Linked DNA regions of Macaca fascicularis. The protein of the gene in region 1 interacts with the protein of each later gene in a biochemical or structural test. Links are inferred from orthologs where the notes say so. Each region holds a gene or a part of one and is shown in the gene's direction. Other genes may lie near its edges.

Evidence for each region.
Region 2: the proteins of KAT2B (region 1) and CTBP1 form a complex in vitro, tested with the Homo sapiens proteins (2 studies listed by BioGRID, with this or other methods). The link is inferred for Macaca fascicularis from reciprocal best matches to the Homo sapiens genes KAT2B and CTBP1.
Region 3: of the proteins of KAT2B (region 1) and H1-1, one has a biochemical effect on the other in vitro, tested with the Homo sapiens proteins (2 studies listed by BioGRID). The link is inferred for Macaca fascicularis from reciprocal best matches to the Homo sapiens genes KAT2B and H1-1.

Annotation. Positions count from the first base shown.
Region 1 is NC_088376.1:28,300,935-28,305,813, reverse strand, and holds part of KAT2B (histone acetyltransferase KAT2B), read left to right. Parts: intron 1-1,521; coding exon 1,522-1,730; intron 1,731-2,736; coding exon 2,737-2,863; intron 2,864-4,879. UniProt on the Homo sapiens protein: Functions as a histone acetyltransferase (HAT) to promote transcriptional activation. Has significant histone acetyltransferase activity with core histones (H3 and H4), and also with nucleosome core particles.
Region 2 is NC_088379.1:1,342,758-1,348,122, reverse strand, and holds the start of CTBP1 (C-terminal-binding protein 1), read left to right. Parts: upstream 1-1,979; 5' UTR 1,980-2,154; coding exon 2,155-2,194; intron 2,195-2,379; exon of another isoform or gene 2,380-3,514; intron 3,515-5,365. UniProt on the Homo sapiens protein: Corepressor targeting diverse transcription regulators such as GLIS2 or BCL6. Has dehydrogenase activity. Involved in controlling the equilibrium between tubular and stacked structures in the Golgi complex.
Region 3 is NC_088378.1:146,911,520-146,915,231, forward strand, and holds H1-1 (histone H1.1), read left to right. Parts: upstream 1-1,919; 5' UTR 1,920-1,977; coding exon 1,978-2,625; 3' UTR 2,626-2,626; downstream 2,627-3,712. UniProt on the Homo sapiens protein: Histone H1 protein binds to linker DNA between nucleosomes forming the macromolecular structure known as the chromatin fiber. Histones H1 are necessary for the condensation of nucleosome chains into higher-order structured fibers.

The DNA of each region.
Region 1 (4,879 bases):
AAAACCTTTTCCTAAAATGATCTTTCCATTTCCTTCTAGATATCCAGTCTGTGAGGGCTTAAGACTATAGTTTTTTTAGGGATTTAGTAACATTGCAGATTAGCTTAGTTTTTTTCAGCTCTAAAATGGGAATTTGTACTAGTCTATTGCATTGCTACAAAGAAATACCTGAGACTTGGTAATTTATTTTTTTTGAAAAGAGCTTTAATTGGCTCACAGTTCTGCAGATTGTACAAGAATGGCATCAGCATCTGCATAGCTTCTGGTGAGGCCTCAGGGAACTTCTACTCATGGTGCAGGGTGAAGTGGGAGCAGGCACATCACATGGTGAGAAAGGGAATGAGAGAGTGAGGAGGAGGAGCCAGACCCCTTTAGACTACCAAATCTCCTGTGAACTAACTGAGCAATAACTCATTCATCAACAAGGGGATTGTGCTAGGCCATTCATGAGGGATCTGCCGTGATGATCCAACACTTCCCACTAGGCCCCACCTCCAGCATTGGAGATTGCATTTCAGCATGAATTTGGAGGGGGCACACATTCAAACTACATCAGGATGAATCACGTGTTTCAAAATATTTTTGATATATTAATATTTAGTAGTATACTGGAGCTGGCTTGTACTGGAATGCAAAGAAAATTGTTAAATTTTTAGGAATTTTGTGAGCTGGTTGTTCCATATGTTGGTAGCTTGAAATTGACCACCATGGCACCTGGTACCTGGATAGCCAGTTCTGGACTAATGAGATGAAGTGTCACCATTTAGGGCCTTCCTTACCTGAAGAGCTGTTTGTGGAGTATTTGCTTGCAAACCACTGGGCAGATTAAATAAGATAGGGAGCATAAGTGCTGGCACGTGGTTGTGCTTCCAGCTATGGTTGAGTGTAAGTCAACAGATATTCTCTGGAAAAAACCCTGTTCTTTAAAAAGAGGTGTTAAAAGTATATTCATGAGTGCTACTATTGGGCCTGTAATGAGAATTTGAATCTGTCATCTCAAGGGTCCTTAAAGCTCAGCTGGAGAGGATTCCTTTAAGCCAGAGGTTGGCGAACAATAACCCACAGGCCACATTTTGTCTGCTTACTGTATTTTTAAACAAAGTTTTATTGGAACAGTACTGCACCCATTCTTTAACATATTGTCTGTGGATGCTTTTGCATTACAGCAGAAGAAGGAGTAGTTGTGACAAAGACCTTATGGCTCACAATGTCTAAAATATTTTCTATCTGGCCCTTCACAGAAAATTTTGCTGGCCCCTAATCTACACTGAATATCATCCGTGTACACATACAATACTCCAATTTCTCAAAATGCTTTACCTGCCTTTTCTGTCTTGTCTTCATAACTTGTATGTGTATGTGTCTCTGTGTGTATGTGTGCACACATGTGTGAATTTAGGACTCTGAAAATCCACAAATGTGTATCTTCTTAGAACAAAAATGAGAAGCTTGGATGTGTCCCATCCCCACTGTCTTGAGAGAATAGCTCTGTGTAATTTTTTCCTGTCTCTTGCATCTCAGACCAATTTTCTGTCGGCACACTCGGCTAGGGATGAGGCGGCAAGGTTGGAAGAGCGCAGGGGTGTAATTGAATTTCACGTCGTTGGCAATTCCCTCAACCAGAAACCAAACAAGAAGATCCTCATGTGGCTGGTTGGCCTACAGAACGTTTTCTCCCACCAGCTGCCCCGAATGCCAAAAGAGTACATCACACGGCTCGTCTTTGACCCGTAAGTGGTACTTTCTGTTCCTTCTTCCTTATTTCCTTTTTAAATGAAAGAGGAACTACTTAGATAGTGAAAGTCAGCCATAGTCATCCACCGAATACCACTGCTCCTGTCTTGCTGTGGATACAGAGCTACACCAAGCTAATTTTCATGTCTGAAAGTGCTAAGATTAATTTTAAACAATATACAAATTTTCTTGTTAATGATAATGAAACTTTGTATTTTACATCGCTGTTGACTATCCTGTGCTTCATTCTTTATAGCAGTGAGAGAATGTAACACTAAGATGTTCTACTTTTTTCGTAGTCAAAATATTGGTTTTGGTATCTTAACTAGGTGCCCAGGTCTGTGGGCAATTATTGGGATATAAGATGGGTTAACTTTGAAAATCCATTGCTTTAAAAAACAAAACAAAACAAAAAAAACCCCCACAAAACCCCAAAGAACTAAACTTCCCTAATTGAATTTATTTTAACATATATAGCCCAGTAGCCTCTGGGGACTGTGATCCATGCCTGTGACAATTCAGAGTGATGCTTTAGACAGAGGGAAGGATTCCATAATGCAAAGTTTCACAAATTGTATATGTAGATTTTAAATTCTTTTTCATAATGTTTCTGTAATATTTTGGAGTAAGACTTAACTCTTCAGAGACACATATCATGTTTGTCCATGACTTCCTGCTCTCCCCTGACCCCTCCTTGGCACTGGGTGTGCCAGTTCCAGAGCACCTCCGCACATACACTGTTCTCTATTTTAAACCTCAGGCACTTCTTAGGTGACTGGTACTTTGTTCTGATGGGAGTGCTGATGACGTCTTATGCAGTCAAGCTTGCTCTAAAAAGTTCAGATAAAAGGGTAGTCTAGTGAGATAGGGGTTACATGAAGGAAGTTTCTATAGAAACTTAGGACATGTCCCTCTTTCTTAGTTGGTTAATAAGGAACACCCCAAAAAGTATATTTGTATAACTAGGGTAGGTAAAACTTTGACATAATCTTATTCTTTCAGGAAACACAAAACCCTTGCTTTAATTAAAGATGGCCGTGTTATTGGTGGTATCTGTTTCCGTATGTTCCCATCTCAAGGATTCACAGAGATTGTCTTCTGTGCTGTAACCTCCAACGAGCAAGTCAAGGTAAGGGTAACCCAAGGTCTTAGAAGAAAAGCAGAATGTGGAGCTTCTCACTAAGGCCTGCAGAGCTTGGGAAGATCTCTCTGTGCCATGTCCAGAGGAGGTTCAAAGTGGAGTTAAGGACTTTCTGGGAATAGTCCTCTCACTCCAACGGTCCCCAACCGTTTTGGCACCAGGGACTGGTATCATGGAAGACAATTTTTCCACGGGCCAGACTGGGGGTATGGTTTTGGGATGAAACTGTTCCATCTCAGATCATCAGGCATTAGTTAGATTCTCATAAGGAGCATGCAACCTAGATCCCTTGCATGCACAGTTCACAATAGGATTTGCACTCCTGTCAGAGTCTGGTGCCACCACTGATCTGACAGGAGGCAGAGCTCAGGCGGTAATGCTCACTTCCCTGCCGTTCACCTCCTGCCCCTATGTACAGGCCACGGACTGGTAATGGTCTAGGGGTTGGGGACCTCTATCTCACTGTGAGTGTATGTGTATGTGTGTGAGAAGAGTAAATGGTTTCACCTACCAACAAATAGGGTTGTACCAAGGCTTTATTGGACTTTGGGGCAAGGTAGCAGGATACTCTGCAAGTTCCATGTGTCACTCAACTATCTATAGCAAATGAAGGGATATTTGAAAATAAATCTCAGTGTTCATTGTTAATTTCCACACCCACACACACACAAACACGTAATCACAATTAGTGACACTGCACTACTGGAAAGGATATGGTTAATGTGGATTAGAAAGATGATTCAGGCAGCTTACACTTCAGAAAGATTTCTTGTGACCTTGTCCCTAAGGGAAGACAAGGACTAAAGAAATTCTTTAAGGGAAGTCATGAAATTCTATAAGGGAAGTCATGTAAATTTATGAATAAATTTCAGAAGTTATTCTGTAGGGTTTGGCGTGTGTTGGAGTGTCTTTTTGTTTTGGTTTGTTTTGTTTTTTATGTTGCTAATTTACCTTCCCAGTTGTCTTTGGCCTGGGTCCCTTCCTTTCCGGGAATTGTGTCCATGTTTTATTGGTATTGCAGTTGGTGCCGCAATCTGGCAAGAATAAACTAGACTCTGAATTGACAGAAAGAGCTCTCATCTAGACCTTGTCCTGTTCTACTTTCTTGCTTTTAAGAAAAGGGAACCAGAAAACGTGTCCTTAGAACGTTATTCACTTAGGGCTGGGCGCAGTGGCTCACACCTGTAATCCCAGCACTTTGGGAGGCTGAGGTAGGTGGATCTCCTGAGATCAGGAGTTTGAGACCAGCCTGACCAATGTGGTAAAACCCCATCTCCACTAAAAACACAAAATTAACTGGGCGTGGTGGCACATGCCTGTAATCCTAGCTGCTTGGGAGGCTGAGACAGGAAGATCGCTTGAACCCGGGAGGCAGAGGTTGCAGTGAACTGAGATCACACCACTGCACTCCAGCCTGGGCAGCGGAGAGTGAAACTCCATCTCAAAAAAAAAAAAAAAAAAAAAAAAACTTTGTTATTCATTTAGGATTTTCATGGGCAGACTAAAGATTAGCAGCTCAGGATTAAGATGGCTGCTGAGAAGAATTATTGGAAGGTCTAAAGCAATGTGTCCAATAGAAATATAAAGCAACCTGCAAATATGAGGTTATAAAAGCACACATATATGTGCTTTTAAATTTTCTAGTAGTTGTATTTTTTTTTAAGAAAAGCAAGTGGAATCCAGTGAGATTAATTTTGGAAATATATTTTATTTTACCCATATATCCAAAGTGTTATAATAACTGCAACAGGCATTCAGCATCACGAAGAGTTATGGAGACCTTTTACATTACATTCTTTGTTCTGTATTGTCTTTTTTTTTTTTTTTTTTTGAGGAGTCTCACTCTGTCGCCCAGGCAGGAGTGTAGTGGCTCCATCTCGGCTCACTGCAAGCTCCGCCTCCCAGGTTCACACCATTCTCCTGCCTCAGTCTCTTGAGTAGCTGGGACTACAGGCGCCTGCCACCATGCCCGGCTGATTTTTTTTGTTTTTAGTGGAGACGGGG
Region 2 (5,365 bases), on another chromosome or scaffold:
GTGCAGAGGGACACTGTGCAGACGGAGGCCATGGGGCGTGCTGATGGGGAAGACGATGGATCCCTGGCTGGCATGCATCCCTCTCCGTTCTTAGTTGCCTGTGGAATTCCAGCGAGCTCTGCTCCAGCTACACTGGACATAAAAGTGCGCAGGAAATGGATCCTGGAGAGGAACTGCTCTTCTGGACTGAGCTTGCTGCTCAGGGCAGCCTCACCTACAGGACCCAAAGCCTTATGTGATGTTTGCTGGACACTCAGCCACGTGGCTGCCTGTTGAGCTCTGCCAGTCCACGTGGGAGCCAGGAATTTCTCCCCAGAAGCCTCTCCATTTTATTCACCAATGCCCAGTAAATCACAACCTGACTTGCTGCAGAGGATGGAGTGCCTGGGACCCGTCTGTCCCCAGCTTCCCTGGGGAAAAAGGGAGTGGCATGTCCCTGCTGCCTTCTGGGCTGCCTGTCCATGCAGAGCAGATAGGAAAGTCCAGTGAGGTCCCTGCCTGTGCACTCCACCAACCACATCATCCCTTCCCAGCAGCCTCACCTAGGCCCCTCCATCTGTGACCCCTTGTCCCCTGCACCGATGTCTGGCCTTGGAGGTTGCTGCTCATTTTTCTGGAATTTTCTTAGATCTCTGCAGGGCTGCCCCTCCCCCTACAAGGGCTCCACACGTGTTCCCTCCTTCATGACTCCCACTGGGCTTCCCTGACAGGGCCCCACCCTCCCCAAAGCTCTGGTGATACCTGCCAGGTTTCCTCCAGGCCACAGCTGGGCAGCCCGGTCTTAGAACAGAAAGTGGTACGCATGGCAGGCCCGACTGAGGGCCCAGCACTGTCAGTGGGGTCAGAGGTCTTCCCAGGCCTGGAAGGGCAGACATGGGCTTCTCAGGGCAGCCTAGGACGCGTCCTCACGAACCACAGCGAAACTAGAGCAGGTGTCTCTCGGATAGGAGTCTGCATCATTCCGTCTCCAGGCTGTGGTTTCTCAAATTATGCAACTATCTGATCATTCCAGTGTGCTCAGAGTAGCCACGCGCAGAGGCCCTTCCCACAACTCCCCACGGGGTGGATGGAAGCGTCCACTCGCGGCGCGAGGAATATCCCTGGGCCCCTCGGGAGAGTCTGCAGGGGCAGCCCCTGGGTGAGCAGGCCCGGTGCGGCCTCTCCCTGAAGGGACTTTCGGGCCCTCCCGGGTCGGGGCGTTTCCCGCAGCGGGCAGAAGCAGAGCTGGCTACAAACCCTACTCTTGTTAAAGGAGAAACGGGGTCGAGAAGGGGGTTCTCCAGCCCTGAACTTCCCGGGCCGGGAACAGCGCGCTGGGCCGGGCAGAACGCGGCCCCTCCCGGAGTCGGGGTCCCCCCCGGCTGGGGACGAACTGGGGCGGGCGCGCTTCTCCTCCCGGGGCCCCATGTGCGGCCGGCTCTTGGACGGTAAATCAGGGCTCGGGTGGGGGCGATGGGGGGAACCCGCGGCCTCGGTGCCCCTGGCCAGCCCCGGGGACAGCGGCACCGCAAGGACAAGTCTTCGGAGGCGCACGGGCCAGGCCGCGGGGCCAGAAGCGAGCGGGGGAGGGCGGCGGCTGGCGGGGCGGGAAGGGAGCGGGGCGGCCGCTGCGCGGAGGAGCGCCATTTACGTTCGGGTCCGTTCCGGGCGCTGACGTGGGCGACCCTGCCTCGGCTTCCGGGCCCGGCGCCGTCCCGCAGGGGGCCTCGGGGCGGGCGGCGCTCCTGCCAGCGGTGCTGAGCCCGGCCCGACCCTGCCCGCCTTCCTCCGGGACAGGCGGTTTAGAACGTGCGGAACACCGGGCCTCGGGCCTCCGCCGGGCTGCAGGCCCCGTGAGCTTCCCGCCAGGCTCCCGCCCCGCCCCGCAGCCGCGCCCGGCCGGGCGGGCCCTGAGCCGCCCGCGTGAGTCCGTGCGCCGCCCGCGCCGGGAACCAGGAGACCAACCGCGAGGCCCCGCCCGCGCGCGCCGCCGTGTCCCCGCCCGCGCGGTCGTCGGAGCGCGGCTCAGCGGCGCGGCGGAGGCTCGGCACGGCGGCGGCCAGGCGCAGGCGAGCGGGCGGAGCAGCGGACGGCACCGAGGCCGCCCCACGCGCCGGACTCGCGGCGGCGCAGCGCGCCGGAGTGGTCGGGGCCCGCGGCCGCTCGCGCCTCTCGATGGGCAGCTCGCACTTGCTCAACAAGGGCCTGCCGCTCGGTAAGGCCGCGCGCGCGCGCGTTTCCGGCCGCGGGCGGGGGCGGGGCGGGGCGGGGGCCGCGCGGGCGGGGGGCGCGGGGGCGGGCCGAGCGCGCGCCCGCGGGCCGCCGGCTTTGTGTGCGAGTGCGCGTGCGCGCCGTCGTCCGCGCGTGGCCGCGGTCGGGGGCGGGACCGCGGCAAGGGTCGTGCGCATGCGCGGGCCGCTGCGTGTGAGCGAGCGCCGCCGTGTGCACTCCCCGCCCGCGGCCCGCGCAGGTGACACAAAGGGGCCCGTGGGCCTCCAGGCTGCTCCACCGACCCCAGCCCCATGGGACCCGGGACGGCACCCCGAGTCCCGAGTCCCGATCCCCGGCCGCTACCCCGTCCCCGGTCACGACCCCGCGGCTGGGCCTGCGGGACCGGGGTGGGAGCTGCGCCGTGCGCAGCTACGGGTGTCCTGGGGAGCGCGCTCCCGGGCCACTCGCGGGAGCGCGCCCCCTCCCGCCCTGAGGCTGCCGGCGACCGCGGCCGCGCGCTGTGGGGGAAGGGGACGGGGCCTGGGCGCCGGGTCTGACCGTGGAGGAGGCCGCCGCCCTCAGACCGGGCCCAAAGCGCAGCCCCCGGCGGTGACGCGGGCGGTCCCCGGGGGTCTCCGCTCCCGCGAACTCCGCGAGGGCCCGGCCCGGCCCGGCGCCTCCACCTGCCTCTGCCTGTGCCGGCCCGGGTCCCGGGGCGCCTTCCTCGCCGGCTGCGGCCCCGGAAGCAGGGAGCACGGGCGGACGCCGGGCGCACGGCCATCGCCATCTTGCAGCGCCCGCATCCTGGGCCGGCCCGGGCCGCTCCGCGGAGCCTCTCTCTCCCTCGACACGGCTGCAAAGGCAGAGCCCGCGCGCTTGATCCCCGGGCCAAAGCTGGAGCGTTCTCTGGCGGCCTCCAAGGGCATCGGTGTCCAGAAGCCCGGCCGGGGCCAGAGCCCTTTTGCTGTAGTCTCCGCGATTGCCGGGACAGAATTCCCTTCCAGTGGGGAAAAGGGAAGGCGGTCGCGCCCTTCCCGGTGCCCTGAGTGGGGAGGTGAAACCCTGAGAGTTGGGGCTAGAGGGCCCGGAGCCAGGGCCGAGGCGGCGGGTGCGCAGGGTGCTCCGTGGAGCCCGAGCACCCCCAGCCAAGTCCTCTCCACCGTTTCTGTAGGAGCTCGGCAGGGAGCACAAGTCCGTCGGGAAGAAAACGGCGCTGGTGGCTGGGCCCGCGCCGCGGGCGTCCTCGCTGAGCTCCTAGCGCATGGCCTGTGCGCGTCTGTGTACCCGTCTGCGGCTTGGGGCAGGGTTGGGGCAGCACCGTGGGGTAACTATTTGCCGTTGCAGCTGAGGATGACAGCTGCGGTTTGGGGGTCTCTCGTTCTGTGTCCTGGAACTTTGTAGGGCGTGGCTCTGCCCTGGGCCTCAGCACCAGGTCTCCCCTGCCCGCCCAGGCCTGGCCACCTCCCTCTGGGGTCTGGGTTTGGCTCCTGGTTGGCACTGTCAGCTCTGCAGACGCGTTTTGCCCTCTGTGATTCTGTCGCCCATCTTTGAGCACCTGCTTCCATGCTGGCGTCCTCTGCAGAACTCTGGGAGGGACATGCAGTGGGGGCTGCATCTGCTCACTGCCCGGGGTGCCTTGTCCACCTGCCTGGCCGTTTTTGAGGTGTCTGCCATGTCCGCAGCATGTACTTCGTCCTGTCAGCCTTGACCAGGGCAGCTGTTAGTTCTGAGAGGTGGACATGTGGTTGGGAATGTCAGTGAGTAGGATCTTCCCTTTTGCACACTTGTCATTAACCTGAGAACATGGCAGTGGGGGAGGGGAGGTTTGGCCCCGGGTGCACGGGACTGTGGGCTGGTCCTGTCCGTCTGCTGAGTGGGATGGGCCTTGGCCCAGTCCTGTGGGCTTGGCGCAGAACCGACCCCAGCCACATCCTGGGGAGATTGGAGGTGCTGGCTGGTCCTGTCTGCCTCCTCCAAGGGCTGGGAGCCCCCCACTCTTTGGACGTTTGTAGTGTAAGGTTCCATTATCCAGCAGACAGCCACTGTTAACAGTCACTCTGTTAATAAGTTTTTTCTGGAGGAACCCTGGACAGAAGTAGTCACGCTCTGCAGGAAACGGGTCCCAGGCTCGAGAGGCCTAGTCTCTTCCTTTGGAGCTCAGAGGTGGCTGTTCAGCCACACCTGGCTCGCCTGGCAGTTTTTCTCCTCTGACTGTAACTAGCCCTTTCAACTTCCTGTGGCCACTGCCCCCAGAGTGTGACCTGGTCTGAGCTGATGGTGGCGTCCCTGAGCCAAGAGGCGTACGGCTGGTACCACTAGTGTTGCTGAGAACCCTTCAGGCAGCGTTCTGTGCCTGGCTGTGCCCTGGCGCTCCCCACGCAGTGCCCAAGTCAAAGGCGTGTGCCCTGTGAGGTGTTTACCCGAGTGACTCTCCTTCCAGAAGGACTTCTTGTTTTCCCCTCCACTCAGGGCTGGAGAGGGCTCCGTACGGGTGGTGCTGACGGTGCAGGCCTGGCTCAGGGCCCAGGGGTGGCCAGGAGGTGGTGGAGGCAGCAGGTGGTGTCCTCCGGGTTCTGTGGTTGAACTGCATCGCCTGAGGGAACGCTGGTCAGAGTACCGGGGTCCTCTGGTGGTCGCTGGATTTTGGTAGTTGTGGGTAGGAGCTCTGTGCTGGGAGTGTCTGGCCCCCCAGGTCCTCCATTGTCGGCTGCAGTGGCCAGGGCCCACTACTCTCCCCCACACTGGGTGGGGGTAACCCACAAGATGCCACCTGCATCACTGACCGTCCCTTCCAGAAGCCCGTCCAGCCACACACTCCATGTGGTATCTCCCACGAGGAAACGTTCAGTTTTTTCCTGTAAAGTCAGAAATCTCTTGGGTGGCCTTTTGTCAAGCCAAACATTAACCTTGAGTTGTCTCTCTGGGTGGCCAGGCGGTGCCAGTTCTTATGTGCGTTGAAGGAAGAGTGAGGATGGCCCTGAGGGAAGCCCAGTTGGTTTGGATGGGGAGGAGTTGGGGCTACGGCCCTGAGAGAGGTGTGGGTGGTGTTGGGACCAGGCCCCTTCTGCACCCTCCCCTGGCACCGCCATCAACTCCCCAGGCCTAGTGTGGCCCATGCCACCCTGCCCACCCATGCCACCCTGCCCGCCCATGCCACCCTGCCCCGCCACCCGTG
Region 3 (3,712 bases), on another chromosome or scaffold:
CCAGTCAATAAATGGCGTTTCTCCAGCACTGCCGCCAGGTACCACCAGCTGGGAATTGTTGCTCTTGCGGAGCAGGAGGTGGACTTGGCCCAAGAGAAACTGGATGGTAGTCCGCAAGGAACATAATTTAGCACTGCCAAGCGCTAATGCAATCATTTTAAAAGTCTCAAAACACTAAAAAGTGGATTGTGACCTTTTTAAATTCACAGGAGACAGGCCACTTTCTATCTTTTGATTGGTTTAGGCTATTTTCTTGAACAGCCATTTAGAAAGCAGATCTATCATCCTTTATTTGCATGGAGCGTTCCCATTTTATTTGAAGCCAGTTTAACCCAATGGAAACAAGGGAGGCAGAACCCATTATTTAAAGTGGAAGCTCCTGAATCAGATAATTCGGAGTATTTCCTTTTTAAAAGTTGCGTTTTTTTCAGATACCTCGCTTATTACATTAAGAAAGGTTTATATCTTTCATAAAGGGTTTACTTACAAAAACCTTCCAATTTTATATACCTGTGTTTCATAACTGACTAGCCGTCAAACCAAGATGTATAGTTTCCAAATGTTATTTTCCAAATTTTAAGAAATTACGTGAAATATTTGAATGCGTGGCTTCTCAATAAAATAGACGTAGGAAACACTGGTAAAGAAGATGGGTACAATAGTTATCTGGGACTACTACAATTATTTGGTTGACACGTTGTTTGAAGAAAAAGGGAAAAAGCTCAGGTTACTTAGCACAGTTCGGACTTATTTAAAAACTACAACAGCACGAACGGAAATAGACCGCATTCCCTCACTCTCCGCTGTGTTAAGGGGTTATCCAGAATAGGATTGTAGAAGTGGATGTCGATTTAATAGTTTTTTTGTTCTCCCGTTAGCTGAGTCTCTGATTGGCAATGTGAGATCGTTTTAGCTTATTGATAATTTGAAATGCTCTTAACAGCCACAAACAAGCTAAAGAGAGGTTACCATAAAATCTTATCCCCAGGGTGTGCTTACACTTACCGTTTGTTTTCACACTAAGGAGACTTAACTCCCCAGCAGAATGCCTGTCGGGGAACCAGTTTCTTGGACCCAGCATTTAACGCCTTTCGCAGGTTTGTGAGGCCCATAAATCTTTGTTGAATAAAACAATGAGTTCACCATGTCATGGTGCGCTCATTGCATGTGCTGACATGGAACACAGGTTGTAAACCTTAACACCCATTTGGGGCATGTTGTATGGATGAAAAGGGCATTGGAAATTCCTGAAGTGCATCCCACATTGGACTGTGGAAGTAAGTTGCAAGTGCAGAAACGTTTCCACACTTGCAGTTTGAGTATTAATTGCAGCGTTAGTGAATTCTGGTGTTGTCTACGATTCATTCTTCTTTGACGTGAAAGGTATTCGCGAGACACATCGCTCTAAAACATTGCCAGAAAATGTAATCGAGTTGATGACTACTAGCCCTAACACGGCCTAAAACCCGCACTTTCCTCTTCCTCCCCAACTATTCAAACACTGTATTTTACATTTCTTGCAAATTAAAAACTAACATATCTGGCAACGGACCTCTAAAACTTTCTAATAAAACTCCCTGGATGCTTGTGGGGCTGCATTTGCAAACCGCTCCCCATCAACCTACTCCCTAAAACAGAGCTGCTTTTTGAGAGACAAGCGGCACCCTCTGATGTTACTAGGTGGCAGTCGGCCTACAATTTCCTTCACAATGAGGCAATCGGAGCGGCTTTTTCGGTGTGTTTGCTTGCGTTGAGGGGAGCGGGACCATAGGCCCTAGAGGCCCCCAGGTGCTCTCTGAGACTGGGGGAAACCCTCTGCAGAGCGCAGGGGGCGCTAGGGTGCGAGGGGCGGGCACTGACGGGCACCAATCACTGCGCAGTCCCACCCTATAAATAGGCTGAGTCGGGGCCTTTTTTTTCTCGCATCCTGCTTGGTCAGGTTTATACCAGTTTACTTGGTGTGCTGTATTAGTCACCATGTCCGAAACGGCGCCTCCCGCTCCCGCCGCTTCTGCTGCTCCTGAGAAACCTTCAGCTAGCAGGAAGGCAAAGAAACCTGCTAAGGTTGCGGTGGCCACTAAGAAAAAGCCTGCTGGCCCTTCCGTGTCAGAGCTGATCGTGCAGGCTGCTTCCTCCTCTAAGGAGCGTGGTGGTGTGTCATTGGCTGCTCTTAAAAAGGCGCTGGCGGCCGCAGGCTACGATGTGGAGAAGAACAACAGCCGCATTAAGCTGGGTATTAAGAGCCTGGTAAGCAAGGGAACGTTGGTGCAGACGAAGGGCACCGGCGCCTCGGGTTCCTTCAAACTCAACAAGAAGGCATCCTCCGTGGAAACCAAGCCCGGCGCTTCAAGGGTGGCTGCAAAAACCAAGGCAACGGGTGCGTCTAAAAAGCCCAAAAAGGCCACGGGGGTTAGCAAAAAGAACGTCAAGACTCCAAAAAATGCTAAAAAGTCTGCGGCAACAAGGAAATCCTCTAAGAGTCCCAAAAAACCCAAAGCTGTAAAACCCAAGAAAGTAGCTAAAAGCCCTGCTAAAACTAAGGCTATAAAACCCAAGGCGGCCAAGGCTAAGGTGACGAAGCCAAAGACTGCCAAACCCAAGAAAGCGGCACCCAAGAAAAAGTAAATTCGGTTGGAAACTTCTACTAACCCAACGGCTCTTTTAAGAGCCACCTACACACTTCGGGAAAAGAGCTGTAGTACACAGATGAAATTCCCCCAAGCAAATGCAATACGCCCTCATTTATATTAGAATCACTTGGAGAGTCAATAGGAACTTTAACATAGGTTGAGTAGTAAATTCTTGCCAGATGAGGCTATCAAAGATAGCAAGGTGAATTCAAATGCACCGAGTTAAAGTCGAATTTTAGATCACCTGTTTTGCTTTTTTTTTTTTTTTTAAGTAGCCCGAAGTCCCGCATCTCACGACCCCAAGCTAATTAGTCATAACTGTAACGAACCAAGGTTGAAGCCTAGTCCCAGGCTTGAGGCTTTTTTATTATACAAGGTTAAAGTGCGGACATTGCGTTCTTGGGTCAATATTGCTAAAGTAGCCTTTTCCGAAATTGGGTGGTCCTAAGAAATGCTTCTGGGATAGTAAGCAAAATTCATGGCTTAATCACGCCCTCTCGGCAGCAGTGGCTAGAGAGGTGTCTGTCCTTGGGAATGACGGTGACCCTTCTGGCGTGACTGGCGCCCACGTTGGCGTCCTCTGAAAGCCCCACCAGGTAGGCCTAGCTCGCTCGCTTTCTGCAGCGCCATCATGACAAAGCTTTGAAACGCAAAATGCTCTTGCTTTGCGCAGCGCTTTACCATGGGTGCACTTACAGGCTGTCGACTTGGTTTAGGCCCTCATCAGGACAAAGGAGCTTAGTTGCAATGGAGTTTTAGAGCTGCAACTCTAAAGCCCTTGCTCGGTTTCTCTGTTTTTAGAAACAGTAGCGACCTGATTGGATAATATTTGAAAATTACTATGCTTAACTGGATCGTGTTTCATCAATCGTGCAGGATTTTCAACCCTGGTGGAGCCCACACATTCAATACTGAAGATCCTTTTCTCAGAACTGCCCCTTTAAGCTTTTGCAATTTTAATTCTGGGGTTCAATTTTAATAACTGAACTTTTTTTTACATCTGACAAAAAGAGTATATGATGAGCCAAGTTTACTCAGTGCAGCTCAATTCTAAAAGTTTATTTTTGCGTGTGTGCATATGA